Oryzias latipes: one gene and its partner. The protein of the gene in region 1 purifies or fractionates together with the protein of each later gene. This does not show direct contact. Links are inferred from orthologs where the notes say so. Each region holds a gene or a part of one and is shown in the gene's direction. Other genes may lie near its edges.

What was found. Proteins that work in one complex are often made in the same cells at the same time.
Region 2: the proteins of anapc2 (region 1) and anapc11 purify together in Homo sapiens (affinity purification with western blotting; 7 studies listed by BioGRID and IntAct, with this or other methods). This does not show direct contact. The link is inferred for Oryzias latipes from reciprocal best matches to the Homo sapiens genes ANAPC2 and ANAPC11.

Annotation. Positions count from the first base shown.
Region 1 is NC_019866.2:2,378,329-2,382,201, reverse strand, and holds the end of anapc2 (anaphase-promoting complex subunit 2), read left to right. Parts: intron 1-21; coding exon 22-97; intron 98-168; coding exon 169-372; intron 373-589; coding exon 590-722; intron 723-2,631; coding exon 2,632-2,873; intron 2,874-2,952; coding exon 2,953-3,162; 3' UTR 3,163-3,370; downstream 3,371-3,873. UniProt on the Homo sapiens protein: Together with the RING-H2 protein ANAPC11, constitutes the catalytic component of the anaphase promoting complex/cyclosome (APC/C), a cell cycle-regulated E3 ubiquitin ligase that controls progression through mitosis and the G1 phase of the cell cycle.
Region 2 is NC_019859.2:4,486,079-4,490,210, forward strand, and holds the start of anapc11 (anaphase-promoting complex subunit 11), read left to right. Parts: upstream 1-1,329; 5' UTR 1,330-1,594; coding exon 1,595-1,703; intron 1,704-3,967; coding exon 3,968-4,113; 3' UTR 4,114-4,132. UniProt on the Homo sapiens protein: Together with the cullin protein ANAPC2, constitutes the catalytic component of the anaphase promoting complex/cyclosome (APC/C), a cell cycle-regulated E3 ubiquitin ligase that controls progression through mitosis and the G1 phase of the cell cycle.

The DNA of each region.
Region 1 (3,873 bases):
TTGGACTCTGCTCTGTTCCAGGGAGATCCGGAACGTGGAGCTGCTGAAGCTTCGCTTCGGAGAGTCTCACATGCACTACTGCGAGGTCATGCTGAAGGTAACCCCCACACTCGGCAGCTGGACTCTCCTCCGCCAGGAGCTGCAGTTTGATGCGGCGCTCCTCTGCAGGACATGGCGGACTCCCGCAGGATCAACGGCAACATCCGGGAGGAGGAGTCGCGGCTGAGCGAAGACGAGCAGCCGCCGCTGCCTCTGTCCGCCATCATCCTGTCCTCTGAGTTCTGGCCGACGCTGAAGGAGGAGAAGCTGGAGCTGCCCCCCGTCGTGTGCCGGGCCATGGAGGCCTACACCCACAGATACGAGAAACTGAAGGTGGAGTCCAGCTGTTTGTTTTTTCTGGAGGATTCTACAGACAGACAGCTGTGGATCCTCTTTATGAACTAATATTTAATCTGATTGTTCTCAAAGTTCATTTTCTGCTCGTCTTGAAGCCACAGCTTTGATGCGACCGCAGCGTTTAAAGTTCAAACCCAGTTTGTCTGTCCTGAACGGGGTTCTGTTTGGATCCTCATTTCCTCCTGCTCTTCAGGCCATGAGGACCCTGAGCTGGAAGCCTCACCTGGGATCCGTCATTCTGGACGTGGAGCTGGAGGACCGAATCCTGACCAACCTCACCGTGTCGCCCATCCAGGCCGCCATCATCCTTCACTTCCAGGACAAAAGTGGGTTCCTTTGGTTCAGTGTACAGCCTCCACAGTCCACACCACTTCAGGTTTTCTGCTCAGTTTAAGCTTTATGCTGAGATGAGCACACCCCACCCCCCTCCTGCATCCTCACATAAAGAGTCATCTTCAGATGAAGCAGCTTTTCTTCAGATGTTTTACTCTTAAATTTTTGCTCTAGAATTCTCTGAACTTGCAGAAAATGTTTGGTTTCTGCCCTCGTTTCCTTTGGATTACGCAGCTTCAAATTTATGTTTTGCTTCAGTTGCTCCAGAAACTGATCATTTATTTGGTCTGTAATGACACATTTTTTTTTATTCGGTTTAGATCAGGGGTGTCAAACATACGGCCAGGTGGTTTGGTCCGGCCCACAAATGAGTAAAAATCATAAGGATGTTTAAAAAAGAAAGCAAGTTTCTACTCCATTCCTCTGGCAAGTTATGATTTTTTTAAAGAAATAACCGAAATGCGCAATTCCGCCACTAGGGGGAGCAAAGGAAAAGCTTAACGGGTGAAACAACATAACTCTGCATGTGCCAAAAACGAAACCTAACAGCTGTTCTCCAAGAATATAACATTCAGCTCCACTATGAGACTCTCCACAAAGAAAAGTTTCACCATTTGCAGTTAAGAAAAAAAAATATTTAGCAACTATTAGCTGGACCGATAAATAACCATCTGGATTTACTACAGGCGTGACGTCAGTGATGGAGCAGGGAAAGCTAGCTACCTTATTGCAAACAAGTTGGAGCAAACATCCAAACCTTTTTCTGATGATGAACTTATTGAGAAATGCTGAAGGCATAGTAGAAGTCTTGCGGCCCAAAAAGCAGTCGACCTTAAACATGAGTCTGTCAAGAATTACGATCAGATCCAACATCTCTGAGAAAACATGGGCAGCCATATGAAGGAATCCAGTCATTTATTGTATTTTCAGTCACTATTGATGAAAGCACCAACATCACAGATATGTACAGCTGTGATATTTATTAGAGGTGATGAAGTGACGTCACAGTGGAGTTTCTGGAGTTGATGGACACAACAGCTGATGACATAGTCAGCTCTCTAGTTACTGTGCTGGACGATGTTGAAGTGAACTGGTCACATGAAGTAATTTTGGTCACTAATGGCGCCCCATTAAAGGTCAGGAAGAAGGCAGGTGTTGCCACAAAATTCAGGCAGAAACCAGGAATAGATTCTTATAATAATGAATAATAATGGACATTTCATTGTGTTTTGCACACTTGAATGACAGTAAATGTGTTTCTGCACAGCATTTGAATCCTGATATCTATGGACGGGTGAAGTTTCAGGAGAGAAAGGAGGTTAACTCCAAACTCTTATGTTTGCAAGTTTAATTCAGTGTAATTTTGTCATCGTTTGGACATTTACATTTTAGAAACATGTTTCATTTTTGTCTGTAGCCCCTCTTGAATTTATCAGGATTGCTTCAGTGTCAGATTTAAAATATTCAGTCTGTATAAAATTAAATAAACCAATATTTTAAAGTGAAATTAATTTTATTTAAGATCCATTGGCCTCTGTGAATGAATGTGTAATAAGAAATAAGGCTACCATGTTGGTTGAGGCCTGTTTTCCAATTGGGTAAAAAAATAGAATAAAGCTGTTGTTTTGCCTTTACGCTTCTGGTCCGGCCCACTTGAGATCAGACGGGTTGAATGTGGCCCCCGAACCAAAGTGAGTTTGACACCCCTGGTTTAGATAATTAAATGTTGCAGTTCCTTAATTGTCCTGCAGCTTCAATGTTCAGGATCTTCAGGTGACAGAAGATTTTAGCTTCAGTTTCGGCCACGGTTCCGATTCTCGGGCCTTTAAATGATCAGATGCTGCCAGAACGTCTCCAGGTTCCTCCGTTCTCCGTCACTGCAGACGCCACTTTGGGTTTCAGGCTCCTGGACGCTGGAGGAGCTGAGCGGAAAGCTGGGGGCCCCCAAGGAGCTGGTCCACAGGAAGCTGGCCCTGTGGCAGCAGCAGGGCGTCCTGAGGGAGGAGGCGGGGGGGCGCTACTATGTGGTGGAGATGGGCTCCTCCATGGAGAAGCTGGAGAGGGGGGGGATGCTCATCGACAGTGACGAGGAGAGGGACTCCAACACCACCACCCAGTCCGAGCAGAGGGAGGAGAAGCTGCAGGTGAGCGTTCGTCTTTTCCGTGTTTTCTAGATGTTGTCAAATATTTCAAATGACCCCCCCACCCCCGTCGTCTCTGCAGCTCTTCTGGGCTTACATCCAGGCCATGCTCACCAACCTGGACAGCATGACGCTGGACCGCATCCACTCCATGCTGCGGATCTTCGTGGCCACGGGGCCCGTCGTCACGGAGATGGACATCAGTGAGCTGGAGGCCTTCCTGCAGAAGAAGGTCAGGGAGCAGCAGCTTCTGATGTCTGCGGGGGTGTACAGACTCCCCAAGCCCACCTGAAGCAGGACCGTGCTGCGTTCAAGAGCAGCGGGAAAATGCCAACGTGCTGCAGGCTGAAACCTCCTTTGGGTCATCATAAAAGCTCTTTAAATTATTACTTTGAACTTTTCATTCTGGGTTAAATGTGATGGACTTTCTGTGAAAAATGTGGTTCTGAATATTTTCGCATTTATTTAGTTCACATTGAAGAAATAAACTCCCCCTCCACAAAAGTAATCCCATTATATTACAGTGCATTTTGGGTAATGGCACTTTATAATAAACCTGTTAAAGAACATTTTCTTAGAAGATCGTCTTCAAATTCACAAAAACAGTTTATTGCTTTTTTTCTATTGCAAATCAAAGCCAGACGTTTAGAAGCTGAAGACTGAAGTTCTGGACTCAAGCGGTTCCCTTTCAGCGTTTACACTCACTCTGGATTAGCAGATCGGGTTCTAGGGGAGAGTTAGCGGGACGGGCTGGTGTTTGTTCGACAGCAGGACAATTACAGATTGCAGTGAACGCGCCACAGATTATCAGGAGGAATGTTCCAGATCGTTTGTGACGCTCCGTCAGCTGCTTCCTGTTGTGATTCATTCACATGAGGACCTGCCGTCTTCACTGCTGGGCTGTTGCGTCGCATTCATGACATTTTTCTGAAACGAAACATGAACGGGAGCAGAACGCTGCCGGCTGCTGAAGCTCACAGTTCCTGTTGGGTGATTCACCAGC
Region 2 (4,132 bases), on another chromosome or scaffold:
GACTTCAATCTAATAGTTTTCTACATATGTTTAGGTTTTGTTTGTTTGTTTTGCAAATCCTTATTCCACAAGGTGTGTAAGACTGAAATCCAGGGATGGTCAATGGTTATTTATATTACATATAAATGACTCCTTAAAATAATTATAGAAAAAAAATCAAATAAAATAATTATAGAATAACAAAACCTCGAAAATTTAAATAATTCCAAATATTTAAATTTATTATTTTTATTATTGTCACAAATTACATTTGGGGGGGGGGGGGGGGTTCTATTTGTACCATGTCTAATTCATGTCTAAGCCCTCACATTTTGAAGAATGAGCTGTTTTTGCTTTTAAATGATACTCAATGCAAGTCTTCTGGTTTTTATGGTGTTGACATTTGGAACTTGATTCCGTAATAAATGTAATAATAATAAGAATAATAATTCTTATTATATTTATTATTATTAAAATAATAATTGTCAACACGGCCAAAAAGTTCTGGTTCTTTCCTAAATTGCAAATTCTCCTGGTGTTTTGTGGGTTTTTAATGAACTCTGGCTTCCTCAAATAGTCCATAAACAAGCCTCATGGACTAATTGGTGACTCTGAATTTAACTGGCAGACTATAATCTTTGCCTTTGTTCTGAAGAAGCTGGGAAAGACTTCAGAAACACCAGTGATTCTGCACATGTATACATTTTGATTTCTTAATTTCAATTTTTTCAAAATATTTGTTGTTTAAAAGCAAGGAGTGTGCGTATCTGTTTAAACGTTTATTTGCCACCTTGATGTTTCACTGTCAGTCTCGTCAGAATTGAATTGAAGCCATCATAGTTATTTTATGTGACTGTGTCTGGGTTGTGAAGCTGTGTTGTTAGATCTTATGTGTCTTTTCTATCTTATAGTTACTACAAATCGCTTTTCCCTTAAAAGTTAAAGTTATTTAGCGTTTATTAACAAAAGAGAATCAGACACATTTAAACAAATGGCTCAAAGGAACACAGCAAAAAATAATAATAAAAAATAAATAAATAATAGGAAAAACTAAATTACAAAGCATTACCATTTAAAACACAAACTAAAAAGGAGGGGAGCACAAAGGGCATCACCAATTATTCATATTGTATTTTCAAATAGGGTCCACGTTTTTAATGCATTTAAATTCTCATTTAAATTATCTAAATTTTAAATAGATTCGTTTTTCCCCCCATTGTTTATCCTATTTTATTTTATTTTTGCAAGAATTAGAAGAAGTGATCAGTTTCTTACCATTTGTCACCGATAGAGGGCGACATTTAAAATCCAACGCAGTTATAAACCAAATGTGATGACACCGGAAGAAGAAAGTTGCACCGCTGTTTGAAAGAACGGCAGCATATTTTTGCGTTGTTTTACACTGTTTTACATGGCTTAGTTCTAACGAACAGTACCTTTTAAAATATTGTCAAACACTTAAATTACACCCCAACTGTTGTTCCTTCGTTAAGCGAGCAGTGTTAAACAGAGCAGGTCGCTTCAGGCTCCGCCGGGTCGACATAGGCTAGCCTAGCTTGCGTGTCCCGTTTGCCGCTGAGCTCCGTGGGTTTCCCTGATCCGTCTCTCGCTGAGGATGAAGGTGAAGATCAAGCAGTGGAACGGAGTTGCGTCCTGGTTGTGGGTGGCCAACGATGAAAACTGCGGCATCTGCAGGATGCCCTTCAACGGCTGCTGTCCAGACTGTGAGTTAACGCGCCCGCGTGCAGATGTTTAATTCCTGTGAAGAAAGAAGTAGAAATCCCACCATCGGTTTAAAGAAATCTTTGTGATGTTTATGTTTCCTCGTAGCATAAAGGCAATTGAGCCGTAATGGCGTTTAAAACCGTATTTGATAGAAAACCTTGTAATTTCACATTTACTCTGTCTGTATTACCTAACAAACTACTTACGACTTAACAATTTTTTTTATATAACTTTATTGAACAAATGCAAGTATACAACATAAAGAACAATCAATGCAGTATACAACATACAATCAATATACAACACAAACAATGTTAAACAGCCAGGGGAGTCGATTCATTAAATATTTGCAGAGAGTTACAAATTTCAATAGTTCTGAGAGCTTTTTTGTTGGAGGAAAAGGATATTGATTTTATGTAAAAAGTTACATCTTTAATGAATTGTGGGAAGTATGGTGTTTTATTAGTAAATTTACATTTATGTATGTAGAATTTTGCCAGAAGAATTAATAAATTAATTATAAAAAATATCTTTTGTTTTTTGGGGGTCCTGAAAAAACAAAGTAATACATTTTCCCATTTCAAGGAGAAATCTTTGAAGACATGAATAATGATGAATCTACTGAACTCCTTCCAAAATCTCCGTGTGGACAAACAGTGCCAGAAAAGATGAATTACTGTTTCTGGGTGATCTCCACAGAAACTACAATCAGTATTAATATCTTTTTTAAATTTTATCATATAATGTTTGGCAGGGTAAATTTTATGGAGAATTTTAAAGGATACTTCTTTTACCTTATTTATTATTAAATACTTATGAGGGATCGTCCAGACTGCTTTCCAGTTGATATCTGGAACAAATTGATTCCAATAATTTAAAATATACGGGGGAGCGGTATAAATCTTTTGAAATAATCTGCGTATTTTTATATTAGTAGTACGCCCATATGAGAAGCATATTTTTCCTACCGGTGACTCATCCGCATTGGATATTGTATTTTGATTAGGTATCAAATTATCAGTGTTCTTAAATAACATTACTATTCCTGAGGGGATAGCCTTCTGCACCATTGAAAACTCTTGTAAAGTAATAGGTAAATTATACTGTGATAGGAATTCGTTATAGTTTAACAGCTGCCCCTCCTTATTAAATATTACGACTTAACTAATATTTGAGAATCAGAGATGTGACTACGCATGCGCGAACATTCTACTTAGTCTTGTGTTTGCCATTGTCACAAGTACAATGCAATGTAGCCGTTATGATACATAATTAAAGGGAAAATAACAGGACCACCTGCAGAAATGCTGTTTTCCTCTAGGTGGGTCGGTTAATAAATGAAGTTGATTAGTTAATTAAATTGCCTCTTCGCTACAGATGGGATGTATTTCATCCCAATCAAAGATGGATGGATGGATGTAATTAAAGTCCTGATTTTAACTAGATGACTGTGATTTGCTATTTTTGTGAATTATTGTCTCATCAATAAGAACTGGATTATGGCAACAATGCAAAAGAAATATATAAAAAGAAACAATTCATTAGGGGGGGGGATTGTATAAAATAAATGAGCTCACCTTTAGGCAGCAAATCAAATTGTGCATGACTTTAAATTATCATTATACTAAATGAATCAAATGTGATTTGTGTGTATTGTATGCATTACTGCGAAAAAGTCTCTTTGATTATGAATAATTAGACTAAAGCAGCCAGCATTGTCTTGTCATCACTGTTCATTTTATTCTTTATTTTCTAATCAATGTATTACTATATCTGAAATGGGTTTGATATATACATGTGTGTTGGTAGTTGTTTTTATTGTATTCAATCATTTAATCAATCAAATGTTCTCGTTTCATCCTGTTTAGGGACAGCAGATGTGAAATAGCATCATGGCTAAAATTGGACATAATTACATCTTTTAGTCTCTGGACATATGTTCAGTAATGTGTCCATATAAAATAAATACAATAAGATAAAATATATTTATCTTATTGTATTTATCTGCAGTAAATATCTGCAGACTTAAGAAAATCAGCTGTAAACATTCATTTATCAAAAGAGATTCCCATAAACAGATTCATGACACGTTTATTGTTGAGGATGAAGTCAGTCGGTCATGATGTGGAGATCAACACCATCACTTACAGGAGTTCGGATTCTTATTTATAAATTGGTGATGTAACATGCCCCATATAACTTTGACTTCGTGTCCATCAGCACACCCCAGCTCGAGTTAAGCCATGCTTCTCCTCATCTGCAGGTAAGGTTCCCGGAGACGACTGCCCGCTGGTGTGGGGTCAGTGCTCCCACTGCTTCCACATGCACTGCATCCTGAAGTGGCTGAACTCCCAGCAGGTGCAGCAGCAGTGTCCCATGTGTCGCCAGGAGTGGAAGTTCAAAGAGTGACGTGTCACGGTTCAGAACA